4 linked regions of the Drosophila melanogaster genome follow. The protein of the gene in region 3 interacts with the protein of the main gene of each other region in a pairwise test. Each region holds a gene or a part of one and is shown on either strand. Other genes may lie near its edges. The genes, in order: CG5550, CG13510, Hey and CG9184.

Region 1 (4,002 bases), 8.8 Mb from region 3:
CACCACTGCGCCAAAAAAAAAATACTCGAAAAGGGGGAAGAAATTCAGCCATGTGCCTAAAAAATCAATTAAAAAGAGTGGTATAGACTTCAATAACTACAAATTATTATTTTACAAACAATTTTTTGATTTTTTTTTTTTTTTTTTTTTTTTTTTTGAGCTTAGAACACGATTTTTTTGGAATTGGCTCGTTCCCAGGTGTTTGGGGCATGCTGGTCACCTTTTGCTCTCGTTGGGGAACTCGACCATAAATTTGCTTTATTTTCCTGTTCTGTTGGATTCGTAACGTTCGTTAGTTTCGCACTCCCCTCGTTGTCAATTTGTTTGGCGATATTTGACAGACGGCGTCCCGTACTTCTAATAATTTTCGAGTTTTGCTTGATCTTTGCTTGGATTTTGCTTATGGGTCTGGTTGATTCGTATCGATTCATTTCTCATACGCGTAGGCATGCCAAGAATTTATGCCATTTTCCACCTCTAATTTATATTCCGTTGTCATCGGCAGAACGGAAAATGGGCTAGGTAGAGTGTATGGGGCAAATATCGTTTATGCCACAGTTGCGACGTGATCGCGATAATCGAATGCGCATGAACTCCAGGGAGCTGACCACGTGTCGCCTGTCAATCATATGAACAAGTTGATATTGATATGGAGCTGGGGTATTCTATCTGGGTTGTCTATCTCTGGCTCCATTAGATAACCCCAATGGCTCTCGGTTAAGTCGGTTTAAAGCTGCCTTATTTATCAGCCGCAACGCACACACAATTGTCGCTGCTGCTGCAATCAATTTCAAAACTGTCACTTTGACACTTGAATTCTGTTCTGTTTTTCTGGCTCCCCAACTCCTATTCCCATTCCGGTCGCCTCCATTCCTCATCGCTGTGCCAAATGCCGTAGACAACACGTCTATTGCCTATATATCGTACACTGAAAAAATAAAACAGGGGTCCTAAAATCCAATTTAGTTCACCTTTAGTTGGTAGCCAAACAAATGACCAATTTTGATTACTTGTACTATTAAACCGACTGCTTAAATAACGTAATATTTTGAATCCAGGTTAAAATGAAATACTTTTTTCCCAGTGTTCTATATGCGTTACTGAATGAGTGTGTAAACATCGAGTATTATGTATTTATCATAAATGCCATTTTATCGTTCTTCAGGCTCCCAGTCGTCTTCCTTGTGGGTTTGTCTTCCTCGCTCTTTGTGGCAAATATTTGTTCATTTGTTTGTTTGTTTGTTTGTTGCTTGGAATAATGGTGTGGCATATGTTGGTGGTACGAGATATGGTAGTAGAAACCAGTGGGAGTGGGAGTAGGGTATTTGTGTGCACTTTGTAGGTGGCTCTTATATCTGCTGTCATTCGAGTTGTCACCTCTCGCCATAGTAGTTTCTTTCCGCCGGCGGTGCAACTTTGGTAGCCGACATGCTCTGTCACATTATTCCAAAAGTTGTCAAAAACCAAAAAAGAAAAAAAACTAAAAAAAAACATAACATGATCTGATGGTGAGGGGTGGTAGCACCTTTGGTGACACCTTTTGACACTTGTCCAAAGTGCATCCAACTGCCTAGAAACAGGAAATGGGAAATGGATTCTTTGTAAATATTTGTATAGCGCTACGAACGAAGTTTTTCCGAGCCTTCAATGTATTATGTTCTATTTTCTGGCAAAATCAGCTAGTCGATCTCTACGAAGAAATGTGATTGCTTATATTAAGCTTATCGTATAATTAGAATTCTCGATAAAAAGTGATTTGTGCTAGTCGGGTAATTTGCTACTAATAAACTCGTGGCGCCATGTTGCAAATTATAGAAGTCTCAAGTTTTTCTTCAAACTTGTTGATATACTTTTTATTTTACTGATCAATTTCAAATAATAATAATTTGTTTATCATGATAGGCCCTTTCAAACTTATTATGAAAATCATCATGGTACGAACCTTATTTATGCCACCTGCTTAAAGATTTAAATCGCATTTCCTTATTCTTATAAGGCGGGTTGAACAATATAACGTCCCTGAAACATGAAACATCCTTTGGAATCATTTTTTAATCAATTATATCCTTTGTAAGGACTTTAATTGAGTGCCTTGAAATATCTTTCATTAGTACAGTAAAACTTTGTTATACCCAAAAATACAATTGGGGTTTACCTTGGAATTATCAACGTTGTCAAAATGTAAAGATTGTAGATAGCATATTCCAAGAAAACTCCCCCATAAAGATGACTAACTGTCTGAATAGTAGTTTCTTATCTCTTGTCCAAATTAGTTACTAAAAGATCGTAGAGGGGATTTAATCAAAAGGGGTTTATCAACTGGCTGGTCGAAAATGACCAATAGTAAAAATATGATAAGAAGTATACAACTGATATAAAATGGTTTGTCTTGGCCAACTGATTTGATAGTCGTTTCGAGCCAACACAATGAAACCCATTTGCTTCGCACTCTGCGTATTTTCGCTAGGCCTTTTCTATTTGGCCAGCGCTGAGATTGGTGAAAATGTGAAGATCCAGACGTACAAGAAGTATAGTTCATCCTGCAAGGAGTTGAACCCAAAGAAGAGCGGTGTCCAGAAGATCCAAGTGGGCTCCGATGTAATCGAAGTGTACTGCGATGTGACAATCGCCGGAAAGGGCTGGCTGGTCGTCCAGCGAAGAGTCAGTGTGGAGGAGAACTTCTACCGCAATTGGACCTCTTATCAGACGGGTTTCGGTGACCTTAAGGGTAACTTCTTCATCGGATTGAATAATCTGAACAAGATCTCGTCCCTGCAACCCCAAGAGTTGTATATTGAGTTGGTGGACTTTGCTGGCGAGAAGCGGTATGCCCACTACAGTGTGTTTCACGTGGGCAACGTGTACAGTAATTACCCGATAACCCAGCTGGGCGCGTACAGTGGAACCGCCGGAGACAGTTTGAGCTATCATCTGTACCAACCTTTCAGCACCTTCGATAGGGATAACGACAATGCCACTATCAACTGTGCTGCCAGATATATGGGAGCCTGGTGGTACAGAGAATGCCTTAGCAGGTAAGGTTTTTGACCTTTTCCCAAGATTCCAAGATCATAGTACTCATAAAGAATCCCTTGCAGCAATCTGAATGGTGCATATCTGGGTGGAAACCACACCGATCCCGCGCTGTTTGGCTCTGGAATCGTTTGGGGAGAATGGAAGGGCTTCACATACAGCTACAAGACTGTTAACATTATGGTGCGACCAAAATAAGTCCTTGATACTTTAGAAGTACTTGTTTAACTGACTAGATAACTGCCTAAAACTATGAGCTGATTAGTTATTTGCTAACAGTAAAAAACTTACCAATAGTTATACATTCAATTTATTTATTTACCTATTTTAATTATGTAAATATATCTAAATAGATTGCACAGCTTTTGTTTTATTGGCCTAAATATTTGAACGATAGAGAGCAAACACTGGAAATCCCCTTCACATTGTCCGTTTATTTGATCGCTATTAGGTTGGAATAATATTGCTTACTTCTTGTAAAACGCATAATGCTGATAAGAAACTTTTTCTCGCATTTGCATCGCCGTTCAAGTTCAAGTTCTCAAGTTCTGTTTGCAGATATCAAATTGTGGTTTATGAGAAACATTTGTCGGGCAGCCCAGTTCCTGCCCAGGCCCCCATTCCCGTTTCCAAAGTTCTGATGGGGAGTGTTGTATATCCGCTTGTGTATCCAATAACCGCAGCGCAGCCCCCAAATGCTTTTGTTATTTATTATCGGGCTTTTGGACTCGGGTGCACGGATAATGATGATGACTCAATTGACGTACAATGGCCAACTTTCAAGTGAAGTAATTAAAGGCAAAGTATCATATCAAATTCTCCCCATTCATATTCATGTTGGGACCCCGGAAAATCAGCTGATCTCGGCAGTTTCTCGACTCACGGCATATGGAGTGGAGTATGACAAATGTATCGCATATCGCTATATCGCTCCACGGTCATAGTGTGCGAAACCTCGATAGCCCTACT
Region 2 (6,553 bases), about 15 Mb from region 3:
TGTGCCATGTGGCAAGCTTCGTGCCGACGCCGTCATCGCACAACCGCGTGTGTCTGAGCCCCGCTCAACCCCGATTCCATCCATCATCTTTGCTCGTCGTTTGGTGCAACTTGCTTGCTCGGTCTGGTCCTATCCAAAATCAACACAATCTATTTATGTATGTTCTCACTAGCGCAAACCACCCAGCACAGTATCCTTATTTAACAGCGGGTGTGTCCGTCGCCAGTGATTAACATTCCCCCCGAAATCCTACTGTCGTCCTGTATGTCTTTGCTGAGTTCTCCCCCAAGCAAAAGTAAATTTTTTGGGGAGCGGCAAAGCAGCGGTAAACATCTAAACAACCAGATATTACCCAATTAGACCTGACTATAATAGTCCGTTGCTCATGTTTGACCCAATCCTAGGCTTGCATAATATATCTCTCCCGTCATACTTACAATCTGTATGGGTGGGTACGTTGTCAAAATAAATAAAGTAGAATTCCGATTTCACAGAGAGACAAAAAGTTAATGCGCACTGTTTGGGCTGCGAAAGTGTTGTGCGGTCAGAAGTTTAGGGCGCGAAGCGGGACACTACACTTCCAAAAGTATTTCCGTTAGCAACATTATGTTGCCTAACTGGGAAGTGATATTTATATACATCCTTAAAATTGATTACAGCGTATCCCTAGGCTGAGTTAAATTAAAATCCTTTTATTCCATTTCTTAAGAACTAAACATTTAGCAGAAATTCAAATATTTTACTAAATATTCAATTATAATGCAAAGAACTTCAGTGATTTCATTTAATAGCATGAACAGTAATCTTGAAGCATCTTAGCATCAATTTAAACTGTGCCAACATGCCGGTTCGTCCCAGCAACATTTTACCGGTTCAAAACAGTTTCATATCAACATTTATTGCTGGACACAAAAGAGTTGTGCTACGAAAAAGTTTCGGGAAAAGACCGCCAAAAAGTACACAAAAACAAAAAAAAAAAACGTATGAACAATTAAGTTTCACATTATTTTTTCTGCAAATCTAGTTGTCTGCAGCAACAATGTAGCCAGATACCCAGAAACAGAAATTAAAGAAAATTCCATTCGCTTCAAAATCTATTTGTTTATTTTTTCGCTGTCAGCTTATTTTGCTCACTAAGCAAACATATTTTTATGTATGTTAAGTGATGAAGACACCACATTGACGCCGTCGATACATAAGGAGATATGAACATACATACATATATGTATGTATAGTTGGTTATGTATATATATATACATATATATAAAATGAAATGATATGAAATCGGCGAGTGTTTTCGCTGCGTCTTCAAAACGAACCCAAGCAGGAGTTGCAGTTGGGACAGTACTGGGAGGTCTTGTAGCAACAGTTGCAGCAGCAAGGGGCGCAGACGCAGGGCCAGCATCTGGTGGATAGAGATGGGAAATAGAGTATATAGCTTATAAGGCACGATCAGCAATTTCTCATAGCTTGTCCAGGAAGAAGCAAAACAATTGCGGCCACAGATATAGCAGACTAGTAAAAACATTTCTTTTTCCGTTTGCTTACATACACATTATGTATGTACAAACCTTTGTTGCTATACTTGCAACCATAAATGCGATCTACTTACAGGAATAGGCAGAGCAACGCCGCCATACAGTAAGTTGATCCGGTAGGATGGTGCTCCACGCGAAGGCGAATCCGAGCGTTGCAGTGGGGACAGATCGTTCCCTGGCGGGTATTGTCCACCAGCACTGTCGTCTGGTGATGCATCACGCTTACGGGCTGCAACACCGGCATGGTTTGGGCCATCACGGGTATCACCGGATTGGGATGTGCGGGCGACGCCAGGTTCTGCTGCATGACGTCCTCCGCTGGAGGAGCGGTGGCGAATGGATCCGAGTAGGGCGGCGGGGAGTCTACGCGCTTGTAGCAACGCATGCTTTTCTATACTCTTCAAATCACACTAAAAATATCAACCAGTTGCTTACAGCTGCGAACGAGCACTGATATAATACTGAAAGCTTCCGTATATGTATATCGATGACAGTTTCATTAAACTCAGAACTGCCTTATCGGTATCGGTATTCAATTGATTCGCTTTCCTCATATTCTGGGTATTTATCCTAATACGAATATAAAATCTATCTACTGGCACACTAGGTGAGGAAATTATGGACCAGAAAAGATTACTTCATATGTGCAGTGAGAGTAGTAGAAACCATCCGTCATTAACAAAAAGAACTTAAATTTAAAACGTTATTATTTTATGTATCTGTATACATATATGGCTAATCTTGATTAAGTCTTGACATGGAAGGCATTTTTGGCAGTGCGGAGACACAGCACTTGATCAAATGCTATAGCTCCCAATGTGGCATCCACAGTTGGGACAGTAGTGCTGGACACTCTTGCAGTAGTTGATGAAGTAGGGAAGGCAGATGAAGGGCCAGCAGCTGGAGAATCAGGTTAGCAAAGTTAGTAAGCCCGGTGGTATCCTGACGCCCCACTCACCAGCAGATATACAAGGTCAGAGCGCACATGTGGGTCTTGCGGGTGGGGGACGTGGCCAGACTGGTGGTGACCTCGCCCCTGCAGGACGGACACCTCACCCTCATCGGCTTGCAGCCCACAGCCAGTGGATGTGCGCCCGGCCCCACTCCGTTCAGGGTGTAGACGGGTATCTGGGTCACCACCACCCCATAGTTTGGCTGCGTGGTTACGGTCACCATTTCCGTGTCGGCCGGTTCTGGAGCTCTGCCCATCCATGTGCTGCTCATGTTTGCGGCGGGGCATGCACTGAAATAGCCCGCCATTTAATGACAACATTGCTCTATCGCAATCGTTATCTTTTCTGACTAATCGACAAGTACTTTTTAGGTGAAACCTACTATGACTATGACGATATGGAGGGGTACAAGAGGAGTCGGCCAGTGCAGTACCTAATCGATTGACATTCGGTTCCAGTAGCTCTGTGCCATTTGGCCATTTCCAGTTGTTGGCTTGAGTAGGTGCCAGAAGGGTTTATGTTTCCTAGACAACAATTGATATAGTCTTAGCTATTTATGATATTTATGATCCATTTTACTGATTACGGTTTTTAAGCGATAGTAAAAAGTAAAAAGATTGTTTTAAAATGGTCATTAAAATGTTGGCGTTGGTTTCTCGTAATGATCGATCGAAATTGTTTAGTACCAGTACAAAATGTAGTGGAAAATACTAAATAATGTCAACATTATCATAGACATTTCTGAAAATATTAAATTACTTCATAATCCATTTAGCGGAAAGAGTGCCTTGTCCCAAGATATCTTGTCGCATTTCTGTTTCCTGTGTGAGTCTCATGAGTTTAATGTGTGGCGTTCGTACATGTGTATTTACAGTTCAATTTTTCTCGGTTATGACGCTAGTGCTTAGGGTTCTCTATAGGTATATACGTTTGTATGCATAAATAGGCGTTAGTTAGTTAGTTCTCGTAGGTGCCGATGTAGGCGCTGCAGTTGGGGCAGTAGTGGTTGGCATTCTGGCAGGAGTCCATGCAGTAAGGTAGGCATACGCACGGCCAGCAGCTGTGTGGATAGAGTGGAAAACGAATCGATTAGATAAGTTCGGGGAATTAAACTATTAGTCAGAGCACTAATTCCGAATTGGCCTTTACGACGTCTACAGGCCGTAATCAGTCAGTTTGCTTGCTTTCACCCCGTCTTTCCACTCGGATTCGTTATCTGACTCAACTCCAGTTCCAGTTGAGATAACAATGTTTTCACATATTACCAGTACACACAGTCGCAATACCTGTAGAAACCTATTGTTTTTTCCAAGCGATAAGGGGCCGCAAGTGGTTCATGGGCGTAGCTTTTTAACATTTAACCGAGCTATTGTAACGAGTTGGCAATAAAATGGTTATAGAACATTTCTGCTTGGGCGATACGAAAACATATCTAGATTGTTAGGATATCATCTATAGGATATCATATCATCTATGTATATTACTGAATTTAATAGGCAACATATCCGATTTGTATTGCTTTTAAAAATGGTTTACTCCATTTTGCGCAATTTTATAAAAAGGTCATTTGACTGGATTAATGAAGCACTAAGTCCCCCCTAAGATACTTTCGTTGGCCCAAAGCTCCTGAGACCAATCAACATACATACATACATATGGTGGCAAGCAGTGACTTCAGATCAGATGACTAGTGACTATAAGACTCACATGAACAGGCACAGGATGAGGGCCCAGCAGTGCGTCCTGCCGGAAGGAGTGGACTTCACGGTGGTCAGTACTTCGGCGTGACAGGAGGGACAGCGGATGCGGGTGGGTCCACTGCCGATGGGCACCAGGTTGGAGGTTGTGGTGGTCTGGATGATCACCGTTGAGGACTGCGGTGGCTGCGGCATCGGTGGGTACAGTGGTGGCTGGGTGGGGCCACCGGGCTGATAGGTTTGTGCGGGAGTGTATCCGGACTGTTCACTGTACGGTGGAGGCTGCTTGCTGTCCATAGTTTCGGATTATGTTTCTTCTTGATGCAGACTCTGGATTTCCGGCCGAACTGAACCGATCGCTTTGCTGGCTGGCGTTGCACTGAGGAACGAACTTAAACTGTGGCTCCCGCAATACCTCAACGATTGGCTACTATCTTATCGTCGAGAGGTGATAGCTACCATACAAGTGGGGTTTCTGTCGAACTAATAATCGGATACCTCTTTTATTGTGCACTTGATTTAGTGAGCTACAGCGATGCTTCTCCTCCGAATAGGCGACAGATGAGTCACTTGTTTGATAACACCTTTATTGCATATAAAGGCAATGAATAAGGCCAAAATATACATATGTAACATTTAGTACGTGTATTTTGCGAGGAGAGAGTATAAACAAACACAGGTTGTCGACTCGAGTGCTCTCGCCATAATATAATATTTTTGTAATTTACCAAATGCGTGACCGGTTTATATATATGTACATATGTAGATATGATTCTTTGCCAGTTGAAGCATCATCATTCCATTTGTGAAGCCTTTATTTTTTTTAATTATTTATTGGATATTGGATATTAATGTGTAACTTGCTTAATTTGTGATTAAAAATAATATATATATTTTCCGTGCTTGATACTATTTCCTGAAAAACCTTATGAAATGTCTTAATTATTCAAGTCAAAATAAAAACAGACTTCGATCTTCAATGGGTTAAGATAACTGTGTATATTTTTTATAGAAAAAGCTCCATTTACCACCCACTCGCCGGCAGCTTTGTGGAAGCTTTCCTCATGGGATCTACGTTCAAGTGCAGCCGTTAACATCGCAACCATGAAAATAGTGTTAGGCAAATACGGGGGCTTGACAAACAGATGAACAACTGGTTTGTCTAACTCCCCCCTCAGCCCAAAAAATATAATAATAAATCCCCCTCGCCAAGCGATAGCTGTTTGACTTATGTTTCTTATGTTTCAATTGTAAAATAACCCAATTTATAGGCAAATAGAAAACCCGAGTCGAGTCAGTTCAACAACATGAGCCGTCAGCTAAAGTTCCACCTTCAAGCTCCCGACGACGAGGAGTTCGCAGCGGATCTGGTGGAGATTAACCTGAACCCCAACTGCGGCCAGGTCAAGCAGAAGTCGGCTCAGGCCTTGGACCAGCTGCTCCTGGCCACGCCCCCACACAGAGGCTATCCCTACGGCTATGCCGAGGACTCCGAGCCGGATACCTACTTCTGCCGGAAGAGCAACTCCACAGGCCAACTGGCCGAGAAGGTATCACCTCCGCCGCCCGCTGCCACCAACATTAGTTGCCTCCGCCAGATGTACTGTCCGGAGTGCCACGAGCGATTGCACGAGCAGGGAGTCCGCCTGGAGCGACTCCTTACCATGTGGTGAGTGCAAGGCCAGGACATTTCTTTAAAGTAAATTCTTAGGATGGAATATAAATAAGATTATTTAATCGTAGTATAGGGCTATTAGGATAATAACAAAGATCGGAAGTATTTATATTTCTAATTCAGATTATTTCCTTATCCATTTCCAGCTGCTTTGCCCTGCTGCCCATCTATCCCTGCTGCCCGAGGCGCTCCACCAACGATTGCAAGGTCATCTGCGGCAAGTGTGGTTACCTCTTGGGGGCATGGAAAAGACAGTGAGATGAAGGGATGGGGGTCGTGGGTTGGGGCAAACGGAGTGGGTGCTCCGCTTATAATTGTTTGTTTTGTTTAGTTTTTAAGCACTTTTTGTTGACCTTGCGGCGAGTGATGAGCGCTGCTGAGACTGAAGAGCCGAGTGCCAAAAAATTGTTGATTGCTGCATGATTCTCTCAGTGGTTTCTCTTCAATTAGATCTCTTTGGTCAGATAGATCTCTTTTTCGAATTTCACTGCCTCGGGATTCGCCAAAATGTTTAGCACTTGACGCCGGCCAGTCGCAATGTCTCGGGGAAACGACTTGGATGCGGATCTGGAGGTGGATCTCCAGGAGGGGGACAGGGATAGCCAGTCGGCGGCCACCACTGTCACGCTGGAGGAGCGCCCTAGCAAACCCCAGGTGCGATTCTTCAGCATCGGACCCAGCAGCTACCAG
Region 3 (5,628 bases):
CGGCCTCGTACAAGGCGAAGCGAGTGGTGGTATAGGTCAGCTGGCGAAACCAGGAGGCCGAAATGCCATTGTAAAAGCCCAAGATTCCGCTCCGCTCGTGTATGCCTTTAAGGATCTCCCCCACGGTCTTCCGGTCCGCTTGGGATTGGGTCTGCAGCTGTACCTTGATGAGATCAATCGGATGGGTGCCGGTGACTGCGATTGCAGCGCAAACCCCTCCAAACCACCAGCGCGGGAGGCGCCTCGAACTGTCTTCTCCCATAGACCGAACTTAATTTCTTGGAATTTTTTTTTAGAAACCCTAAGCTATCTGACGTGTAAAACTAAAAAGAATTCGGTAAATTTTTCGCTGCAACGAATTGTTCCCATTTAGCTAAGGATAATTCAGCCGCTATGACGGCGAACTGGTAGTCCTCGCAGTGACAAAGCGCACCTCAAGAATGTTCGTTAAAATTAATATTTTCTCTGATAATCCAATAATAGCACTAATCAAAGTATGCGTCATTGATATACCTCAAATTTTTGAATGTGGATCGTCACTACTTGTTTAAACTTTTTTGATTGTTTTTAATAATTATACCCGTTACTCGTGGATTATATATATTCTTATATATTATATATTATATATATATTTTTGATCGGAATCAATACCTGATTCAATCTGGCCATGTCCGTCTGTCCGTCTGTATGAACGTCGAGATTTCACGAAATATAACAACTAGAAAGGCTTTCCTGATCCGAATATCAATTATCAAGCGAGTTTCAACATATTCACTTATACACTCATGCGTTTATTTACAATAGATTCACAAAGTGTTCAAAGTTATAGTTATCATAGGGTATAACTTAAGCTTAAAGGCTTACGGGACTAGCTAATCTCACTGCGTTGTTTCTCCATTTTTTTCTCTCTGTGTAGGATGCGAAACTTAAGACTATCACACTTGGTCTGCTCTGACTAGAGGTTGAAATATCCCTTCTGAGGCTTATGCCCACAATCAATAGGCCATCTCGGCGCCCCAAGGACGATAGGGCTTTGCTCCGTTGGGAGTGGCGTACTGCAGCACACTGGAGTTGTTGTAGTCCTGGCCTGGCAGTCCGCTGACCGGATACTGAGGAGCAGCACTATAGCTAAGGCTATCGGAACCTATGGCCGCTGGACGATTGCTGTTGGTCAGCTCTATGTAGGTGGGAACCTGCTGCTCGGAATGCACTGCGCTGTGGTCGTGGGTATAGTGTTGCTGCTGCGTCGGCTGAGGTGTTGTCTGCGTCCGTTGCTGTTGCTGCTGATGCTGCTGCTGTTGGTGTTGCTGCTGCTGCTGCTGTTGCTGCTGCTGTTGCTGCTGCTGTTGGCTGCTGCTGTCAGAGTGGAGATCATGGCTGGGCAGCGATTCAGTTACGGCACTTCCACTTGTCCGCGAGACACTGGTGCGTCCTCCCAGTTGCTGAGCCTGCTGAGAGGGCGAGGCACTTAGTGTGGGGTAGCTGGACACATAGGCACCCGGGTTGGCTGGCGCCGCATAGCTCTGGTAGGGAGCAGCCGCACAGTTTGGCTGATAGCCGGAGGAGCTGGGAGCAGCCGGAGACCAGCCACCCGGACTGGCGCAGCTCTTGGCCGACAGTTCGCGCTGCTGCACAAAGTACTGGAGGTGGGACATAAGGCGCAGGCGCAGAGGATCCTGAATGTCCATGCCCTCGATGGTGACCAAATAGCGGGCCACCTCTGCGGCGCACTCGCGGAACCCAATGATATGGTAGTCCATGGCCACTCGCTGCGGATCATAGCTAAGCGAGTCGAGAGCTGCAACAAGATACGAGGAGGTGGAGAAAGTCAATAAGCTGTCTAATCCCAGTTCAGGCAAACAATTAAAATAGCTGTTCCCACGCGACGAGCATAAAGAACAACCCCCATGTCCTTCGGCGGGATGGCTTGTTGTGAGGTGGCTATCGGGGGGTGAAAGCCCGCGCCTGGCTACAAGGTTGCCATCGTGGTGGTGCCGCTACTGAGCGTGGGAAGCCCCGAGATTCGAGATTCACTTGAGCGCTAGGCTGGCGCTGGTGGTGGTGGTCCTGCTTTGCCTACGGCAATCATAATTTTCCCACAATTCGACCCTGTTCGGGACAACAGGTCAGGATTGTTTACCCAGATTTGTGATAATTTGCCGCATATTGTATTTAATATCGTTACTCAATTGTTTCCCACAGCGGCTTGCGTTTAGGGATTCTGCTTGCAGTTTTTCCCATTCCAATTTTTTATAATGTATTGAAGTTCATATGTATGTCAGATATGCCTTGATTAATTAGTGCGCTAAATGGGCCCTAATGTAATATTAACTGTCGAAATAAGAAATTACTTTCTTTACACTTTACTTCTTTTAGTTAACCAACTTAGTTGGCTGCCCAAGTTAACCCTCTATTTGCTCCTATTGTGATTAATGACCCATAGAAGCGTTTAACTTCAGTGAGGAGGTCTGTGGTGCAGCTAGCCTATTTGCTTTTTAAAACCTCTTTAAGCTAGCTCAAGTGGGCTTGGTAAACTTACTTTTAGACTGCAGACTCTTGAGATGCTCCACGGTCAGCTGAAGGATTTCGGCCTTCTCCAGCTTGGCGGATCCCTGCTTCTCGTAGGCGGAGGGCACCAGGCGCTTGAGTTCGGTGAGCGAGGAGTTGATCCGATCCCGCCGCTTCTTCTCGATCACTCCGCGTCGCTTCTTGCGGCTCATCAGTTGGCAGCTGCCCGGCTCACTGGGCGAGATTCTAATGGAACAGAGGAAAGGGTTTCTATTAGCTATGGATTGAAGTTAATGATAGATTCTTAATCTTAATATCTTAATCTTTCATAGACTGAAAAACACTCTATGGTGTTACTAAAAAAACCTCTAAGTTACAGAACATTTTAAAATCTATCTTTTCTTAAAACCCTATAGTTTAGTGATTTATATTTTGATGGTTTATCAGCAACTTTGCGTTAAGTGGAGTTATCCATGACTTCGATTCACTAAGTAAATATCATGACGCACTATTTTTTTTAGCAACATAAAACGTTTGCACATCGCATGGTATTTTCAAAGGTTTCATTTTACAAGACAACTCCTAACTTGGGAACTGCGAATAGCTTTTTGTGCACTAAATTGAAAAACAAATTTTGATAAGAAGTCACGAGTACGCACTGTTCCTTGGAGGACTCCTCGGAGTAGAGATCGTCGCAGTCGCTCTCGGAAAGCGTCCGCTTCAGGCTGCCGATGCCGTGGCTATGGCCCTGGCTATGCCCGTGGCTGTGGTTGCTGTGGGCGCTGTGGTGGCTCTGCGGCGGCGGCACCCAGTGGCTCTGGGGTGTGGTGGCGGTGGCGCCGGGCATGACCACGCCGGGTCCGGCGGCGTAGCCCCAGTGATGCAGCGATGGCGCATTGACGTGCATGTTGTGATCCATTGTGTGTGGTGACCAGTGTTTACTCGCTGCTCCTGCGCACTTGACACTACTGTGTTGATGTTGCTGTTGCTGAGCTGTAGCTTTGCGTGCTGCTAGTTGCAGAGGCAGATGCAGTTGGCGGCTAGACCGGGCTGGCGGAGCTAGTTTGAGCACGTGACTTATCGTGTGCGCGAACGGCGTTCGACTGATTCTGTAGCACACGTCGAGCGGACGACCTGCCCTCCGCTGCCGCCGCTCAACCCCTTTTTACCGCCTGCGGCAGCCGTCCAATAAGATGCAGCAGCAACCACCCCCTGGCAACGCGCAGCGCGTGCTTGCCGAGATTGGGGTAGGAAACGGGAAGCAAACATATTCGCCGCGCGGCGATCGCCGCCAAGTGAGCAAGTGAGAGTGTGCGACAAGGAGCGACCAGCGCCGGCAAATGAGCAAGCCTCTGTCATCGATTCATCCGATTGTATCGCCCGACCATCTGATATAGCCTTTCAGCAGCCTCTAAAGCATCTAAAGCATCTAAAGCATCTGCAGCACGGCCTTTAATCGGCGCCGTGGGCGACAAACTGGCGGCGTCCGCCGTCCACTTGTTTGCCGCTGGAGCGGCTGCACCCGTCCATGGAACTCAAACTGGAGCACGCGCCGGTCGTGTGGCATCGCGTGGCGCCGGGTAAAGCCCCAACAAGTGCAACAGCCGCCGTTGACCTCTATCTGTGCAGTGGGACGCGTGCTGGTGGGTGGCCCACACAGTTCTAGGTCAGTGCCGGCTCAAGGTTGCGGCATCCCGGGTCCGGAATGGGAACGGGAACATCCACAGGTGCAGAAGCAGGAGCAGGAGACGAGATAACAACGACTGCGGCAGCAGGTGACCGAAGTTGACCTAGAAATTGCCCGAGGTAAAATCGACTTGTTTACCTAGAAATATGCTAATGCGGAAATAATTCACTTTAATGTTATCGAAAGCAGCGTTTCATCACAAAGGGATATAAGGAACTTGGATGGCGACGGTAAAACGTAAATATGTTGTACAATTTTACGAAAAAGCAGACGTGAGCTTTATCTTTTTCTTTATCTTTTTGATTTGCCATTATAAACTCTTAGATGCGCTTTGTCACTGCATTTCGAATATTCACATGATTTAATCCATTCTAAATTTTTTGCTGAATTGGCTAATCTTATAACTTCCTTAATTGTTCCTTGTAATTGTATGAACGCTGAGCTCTCGGGAACTATAAAAGCATGAATGTAAAACTAGTTACTAGGATTAAGAGCTAGATTGTTACAGAAGATTGCAACGCCTACTCTTAAGGACACAAACCGGCTAAAACTGCCACGTCCATACTTTTGCAAAATTGTCATATTTTTTAAAAATATTTTGGCCACTCCCAGTCTAATGGCCACAAGCTGTCAATCTAAAACTTTTGAAAAATGTTTTGATATTTTTGATTTCACTATTTTTTTTGACAGCTTTGATCGCTATTCCACCAAAATTTGTCAGTTTTTCTAATGATTTTACAAGCTGAGATAGTTAACATCGAAATTAACGTTCTGTCTGTTTTGGTTAATGTTTCCCCATTAACTTTAATGTAATATATTTTGACAGTATTGTGTTCATAAATTCAATATAACAAGCTGATCAATGTCAATATTACCTATAAATTTTATTATGATAAACTATTTCATCCAAAATTTCCCATTATTTCTTATATCAGCCGCACGGAATGTGTGTTTAAAGCTAGCAGTAGATTAAAAACAATTAAAATGCGAATGAAAAACAGTATACGGTGGAGCTGATATATTTACATATATATGTACGTTGTGGTTTGACATAACTTTCCCTAATAAAAACTATACTTGAATTATCGTTATGCAAAAATAATTCTTCTGTAGATATCTATGTTAAAATGTTCATTTCAACTCCTTTGTCCTGTCACCCTAAAGAATCCCAATATTGCTATATGAATCCCTATACTATTGTATATACTTTTATATCCCTTTACTATTATATGTTGCAATTTCGCATATAACTGGAAATATCATTAGTTATTCTCCCCCACAAAATGATTTAGTGTAGCATTTCTCCCATTTTCTCGATTAATTTCGATGGTCGAGGCGTAAGCTTGACTATAATGGAGCCCCGTATCAATTTCAAAAACGTACATCAAAATCGAAAATTATAAAAAGTGCTTTTCATTTGATTCGGCATGCTG
Region 4 (3,938 bases), on a different chromosome or scaffold from region 3:
TAAGGGCTTTTCGTGGAAGCCCCAATCCCAAACTCCAAACTCTTATTCGACGTGAGTACGAGCAAAAAGTCTGTTTTGAAGCGGCCAAAACAGTAGGAAAGGCAAAAACGAAACAAAACGAAACGCTTTTGGGCAGCTCTTTCAGCAGATTTTTTCTTTTTTTTTTGCAATTGGCAGTAAATCGCGTTCAAGATCGGCCTCAGCTGTTGACGCTTTTTATGGCTCGCAGTGAGCTAAGAAAACAGCGGGCCCCAGTGATTGTTTAATACTTAATGGTTATCCGAGACCGAGACCCAGGCACTTGGCATGCGTCACAATGGCGGCGTGATCTCCTCGAGATCTCCTCGTGCCCAGAAGACTCGTCCCTAAAAGCGGGTGACTCAGCAACCGAGCGTCCAGATTCTCTTATATACATATGTATTTGCAACCGGCTCGATAAGTTTGCCCAGTTTGAATTTGAATTTCCAGTCTTTGCGGGTGCGAGAAATGACGATGATGACGATCGTTTGAACGAATTCGATCATCTTTACTCTCGGTCAGCGGCCTCAACTGGGTTCTTTATAATCTAACGATCCATTCAGTTGGATGATCTGGCAAAGCTATTATCAGGGTTTAAGTAATCGTCAATCTCGAGTGGATTAATAGAAACACCTTCTGCCTTTCTCCTTTCTGCAATTCTGTTTCTACTATTATGGGCTTTCAGTTGGACGATTTCTTTAAACATTTATCCAGTCAGAATCGATTAGATATTGAATAGGGCTATAAACTAGAACGCATGCGATGATAAGTAAGAACTACAATGCATCACGCGGTTACTCGGAATATACATGGTACACAATTTATTAAGTTTTAATCAATGATTGGATTAGAGTACTTCAAGCCCTGGCCATTTGGAGTAGGTGATAAAGTGGCACAACGTTAGCGTTGTTCCTGCCGTCGAGGAAGTTCTGGTGGGACAGCACGGCCCTGCCCTGGAAAACGCCAGGAATGGCGGCGGAAGTGAGTCCATCGGCACCGGGAAGTTGGTTATCGACCTCGCCAGCCGTCGAGGAGCGATAGAAGGGATAGTAGGGATAGCCAGAATAGCCGCCAAAGCCGGGATATCCAAAGCCCCCATATCCATAGCCGCCATATCCGCCGTAGTAGTTGTAGCCATTGTAGTAGGGATTGTAGTAGGGTCCCGGCGGAGGAGGAGGTCCTGGCGGCGGTGGTCCGGGCGGAGGGGGTGGCCCCCAAGGACGCTGCGGTGGCGGCGGATAAGCGGGCGGTCCTGGCGACCACTGCGGTGGATAGCCATACTGCCGTGGGTGCTGCTGATCCTCTGGTGGATAATAGTAATGGTGTTGTACTGACGGTTTCGGGGTGGTCGACGGGGCTCCCGAGGCCATCACCAGCTTGATGCCGCCCTTACCAATGGTCTTCAGCAGGTGCTCGTCAATCCCGCGTCCACTTCCCAGCGGATCGTCCAGCACCTGTTGCTGCTTTTCGGTCCTGGCCTGTCCGCTGACCAGGCTCGTCTGCAGTGGCGCCTTCTCCTGGAAACAGAGGCCGCTGACCAGCAGCTGCAGGATAACTGAAAAGGATGTGTCACTCTTTCTAGGCAGCCGATCGTCCGTACTCACCCAAACCAATCGCAGTCACTCTCCGATCCATGATCTCTCTCGGAATAACCTGACCACTCCAGTTGCATTGCCCTTTTATACGCGGTGCATCTGTGATGAGATGTGTGGGATCTCGTTCCCGGTTTCCTCATTAGAATAACCCATGCAGTGGCCCAAATTTGGGATGCCTTTCTTTCTTCTGTGTCCATCTCCATCTCCATCCCCAGCTCCAGCTCCAGCTCGAACTCGATCTCGATCTCGGATCGATCAAGCACCGTTCTAATAACTGCGCTCATTAATTTGCATATGATATAAATGCTTGTAGGGGCTTTGTGGGATCTTTCCACTTCTCATTCCACTTCCATGATCGTTCTGCCAGCCCTGCATTTTTCCAAATGAATTCGAAGAGTTCAATATCCCGCGATATTGCTGCTTGATATATGACGACATTTGAATGCAGATGAAGGTTGGTCATGCCACTGAACAAAAAAATATTCAGCAAAGCTCTTGAGTTGGCAACAAATTTTTTGGAAATATGTGCCCTTGAACTTATTGTATTATCGTTGAGTTTCCGTCTTTAGAACTTATCTTTACTTTTTACGAATGTATTTCTCCATCTCGCTACAAAGCAAATCAGCCTCTGCCTCTTGGTTTCCTATTCTTAATGCTCGACTATTTCTTTCGGTGTGCGATTAATGGGTTAGGAACTTTTTCGTTTGGGTGGGACTCATGGTTTTTGGGTTCCGTTATAGGTCGTGTGTCGTAGACATGTTTACGAGTCGTCTGATACAACAAAATGTGGAGTTCTCTGTTACATCACCCGTTGGAGTATTTCTGGATCGGGAAACCAGTTCCCCACTCTATTAGACCGCTGAATGGGGATTAAAGAAAGAGTGGATCAAGCCGACAAAAGCAACGCCCCCAGGGAACAGAAAGTCAATGACTTCATAGTAGGGAGAAACCGTGTTATTGCAGGGATATTGAGCAAAGTATAATTATAATGACTACACACTCATTAATATTTACAGTTTAATTCATTTTATATCCCCCAGCTAGTTTATCTAATCATGAAAGTATCTGTAGAGGCTTGCCCCGCCACCCAGTCAACTTTGGCAACTCTCTTATCATACAACATATACTCGTGTCAATTGGATCCCAAACAGTTCCATGAGATCTGCACTCACCTGCCCTCCAACTTGTGGATTCCTTAAATAGACGTAGCATAATCTTAGGCGATGGTTGGTTTGTCAAAAGTGCTAAAGTGATTGCAGAATGACTGCAAATGGCTGTGCCCATTGGGTGATGTATTCGTATATGGTTTTCGACATGATCGATATCCACTTCCATCTGCCCTACGTGCAATTAAACAATTATGTGACAAACATCGAATCACGGCGAGCTCGGCTCCAACGACTGGGACGTGTCTGCCGGTCTCTTCGAGAATTCCTGGGAAGTCTTCCCGGCAAACATTTCGCAATTAGTCAGGCATTCGTTCCAGTTCCACACAGCAAATCCCCTTCCAAGTGGCGCAGAGTGGATGGAAACACACAATAGTGGCGGTGGAGGCAATTGCAATCTAGTGTGTGTACTTACAATGTTTTCATTCGGCAATGACTTATTATTTAGCACACTGATAGCTGATAACACAGTGCTAATGTGAGCTGGAGCACTTTTCTGAGTCGGGGTTGTGAGTTTCGAGCTCTGACTCACTCAGAAATGTCCCGAAAGCGCGGCAGTCATCTAGAAATCTTGAAAGCATTAAGTTATAATTTACATTTTGGAGAAGCAAGTTTATGAAATTAGCTAATTGTGGAGCAAGAACTAAGTAAAGGAATTCCTTATGTACATTGAAATCAAATCCTTGATCTTCGCAATAATGGATACTAAGGACTACATAGAGTAAGCAGTGCTAAGATAAAGAAAGTGAATAGATTATAAATCATATAGAATAATTCTTGATTAGTTATCTAAAAACCAAGAAACTGGTTCGCGTAGCTAGGAGGAACCACATTATGAATCAACTGAAAACATTGGGTTGCTCGGAATGATGGGAGATGGGAACGCATATATCTTTAGGATTGACGCATGCGAAAAAGACGTATCGTGATCTCAGGTACTTGGAACTCCGGAATACAGCCGATCCGGAATTCTTTGGTGCGCTGCGTTTCTGTCATGGTCTCCTAAATCGGGTCCCGAGTTTATTCGCGAAAGGCACTATCTAATCGGGGACTGATTGGCGGCATTGCCCTCCTCATCGCAGTCATAGGTATATTATCGTTGATAAATGTGCCGACTAAAAAAAAAGAACAACACAAATTCCGACGAGGCCAATTGATA

The links.
Region 1: the proteins of Hey (region 3) and CG5550 interact in a two-hybrid assay, tested with the Drosophila melanogaster proteins (one large-scale study listed by BioGRID).
Region 2: the proteins of Hey (region 3) and CG13510 interact in a two-hybrid assay, tested with the Drosophila melanogaster proteins (one large-scale study listed by BioGRID).
Region 4: the proteins of Hey (region 3) and CG9184 interact in a two-hybrid assay, tested with the Drosophila melanogaster proteins (one large-scale study listed by BioGRID).

Annotation. Positions count from the first base shown.
Region 1 is NT_033778.4:16,814,187-16,818,188, forward strand, and holds CG5550 (uncharacterized protein), read left to right. Parts: upstream 1-2,402; 5' UTR 2,403-2,427; coding exon 2,428-3,035; intron 3,036-3,086; coding exon 3,087-3,231; 3' UTR 3,232-3,391; downstream 3,392-4,002.
Region 2 is NT_033778.4:22,655,921-22,662,473, reverse strand, and holds CG13510 (uncharacterized protein), read right to left. Parts: upstream 4,574-6,553; 5' UTR 4,486-4,573; coding exon 4,199-4,485; intron 3,552-4,198; coding exon 3,449-3,551; 3' UTR 2,763-3,448; coding exon of another isoform or gene 2,497-2,762; intron 2,439-2,496; coding exon of another isoform or gene 2,336-2,438; 3' UTR 1,924-2,335; coding exon of another isoform or gene 1,613-1,923; intron 1,406-1,612; coding exon of another isoform or gene 1,309-1,405; 3' UTR 1,085-1,308; downstream 1-1,084. Other genes in the region: CG42565 (uncharacterized protein), read right to left, coding at 1,309-1,405, 1,613-1,923; CG13511 (uncharacterized protein), read right to left, coding at 2,336-2,438, 2,497-2,762; CG43325 (uncharacterized protein), read left to right, coding at 5,496-5,857, 6,010-6,121; CG43326 (uncharacterized protein), read left to right, coding at 6,401-6,553.
Region 3 is NT_033778.4:7,994,666-8,000,293, forward strand, and holds Hey (Hairy/E(spl)-related with YRPW motif), read right to left. Parts: upstream 3,614-5,628; 5' UTR 3,428-3,613; coding exon 3,168-3,427; intron 2,755-3,167; coding exon 2,540-2,754; intron 1,799-2,539; coding exon 996-1,798; 3' UTR 773-995; downstream 1-772. Other genes in the region: Dic3 (dicarboxylate carrier 3), read right to left, coding at 1-262. UniProt on the Drosophila melanogaster protein: Transcriptional repressor which acts as a downstream effector of Notch signaling.
Region 4 is NT_037436.4:1,321,130-1,325,067, forward strand, and holds CG9184 (uncharacterized protein), read right to left. Parts: upstream 1,678-3,938; 5' UTR 1,654-1,677; coding exon 1,623-1,653; intron 1,574-1,622; coding exon 876-1,573; 3' UTR 663-875; downstream 1-662. Other genes in the region: Myo61F (myosin 61F), read left to right, coding at 3,442-3,500.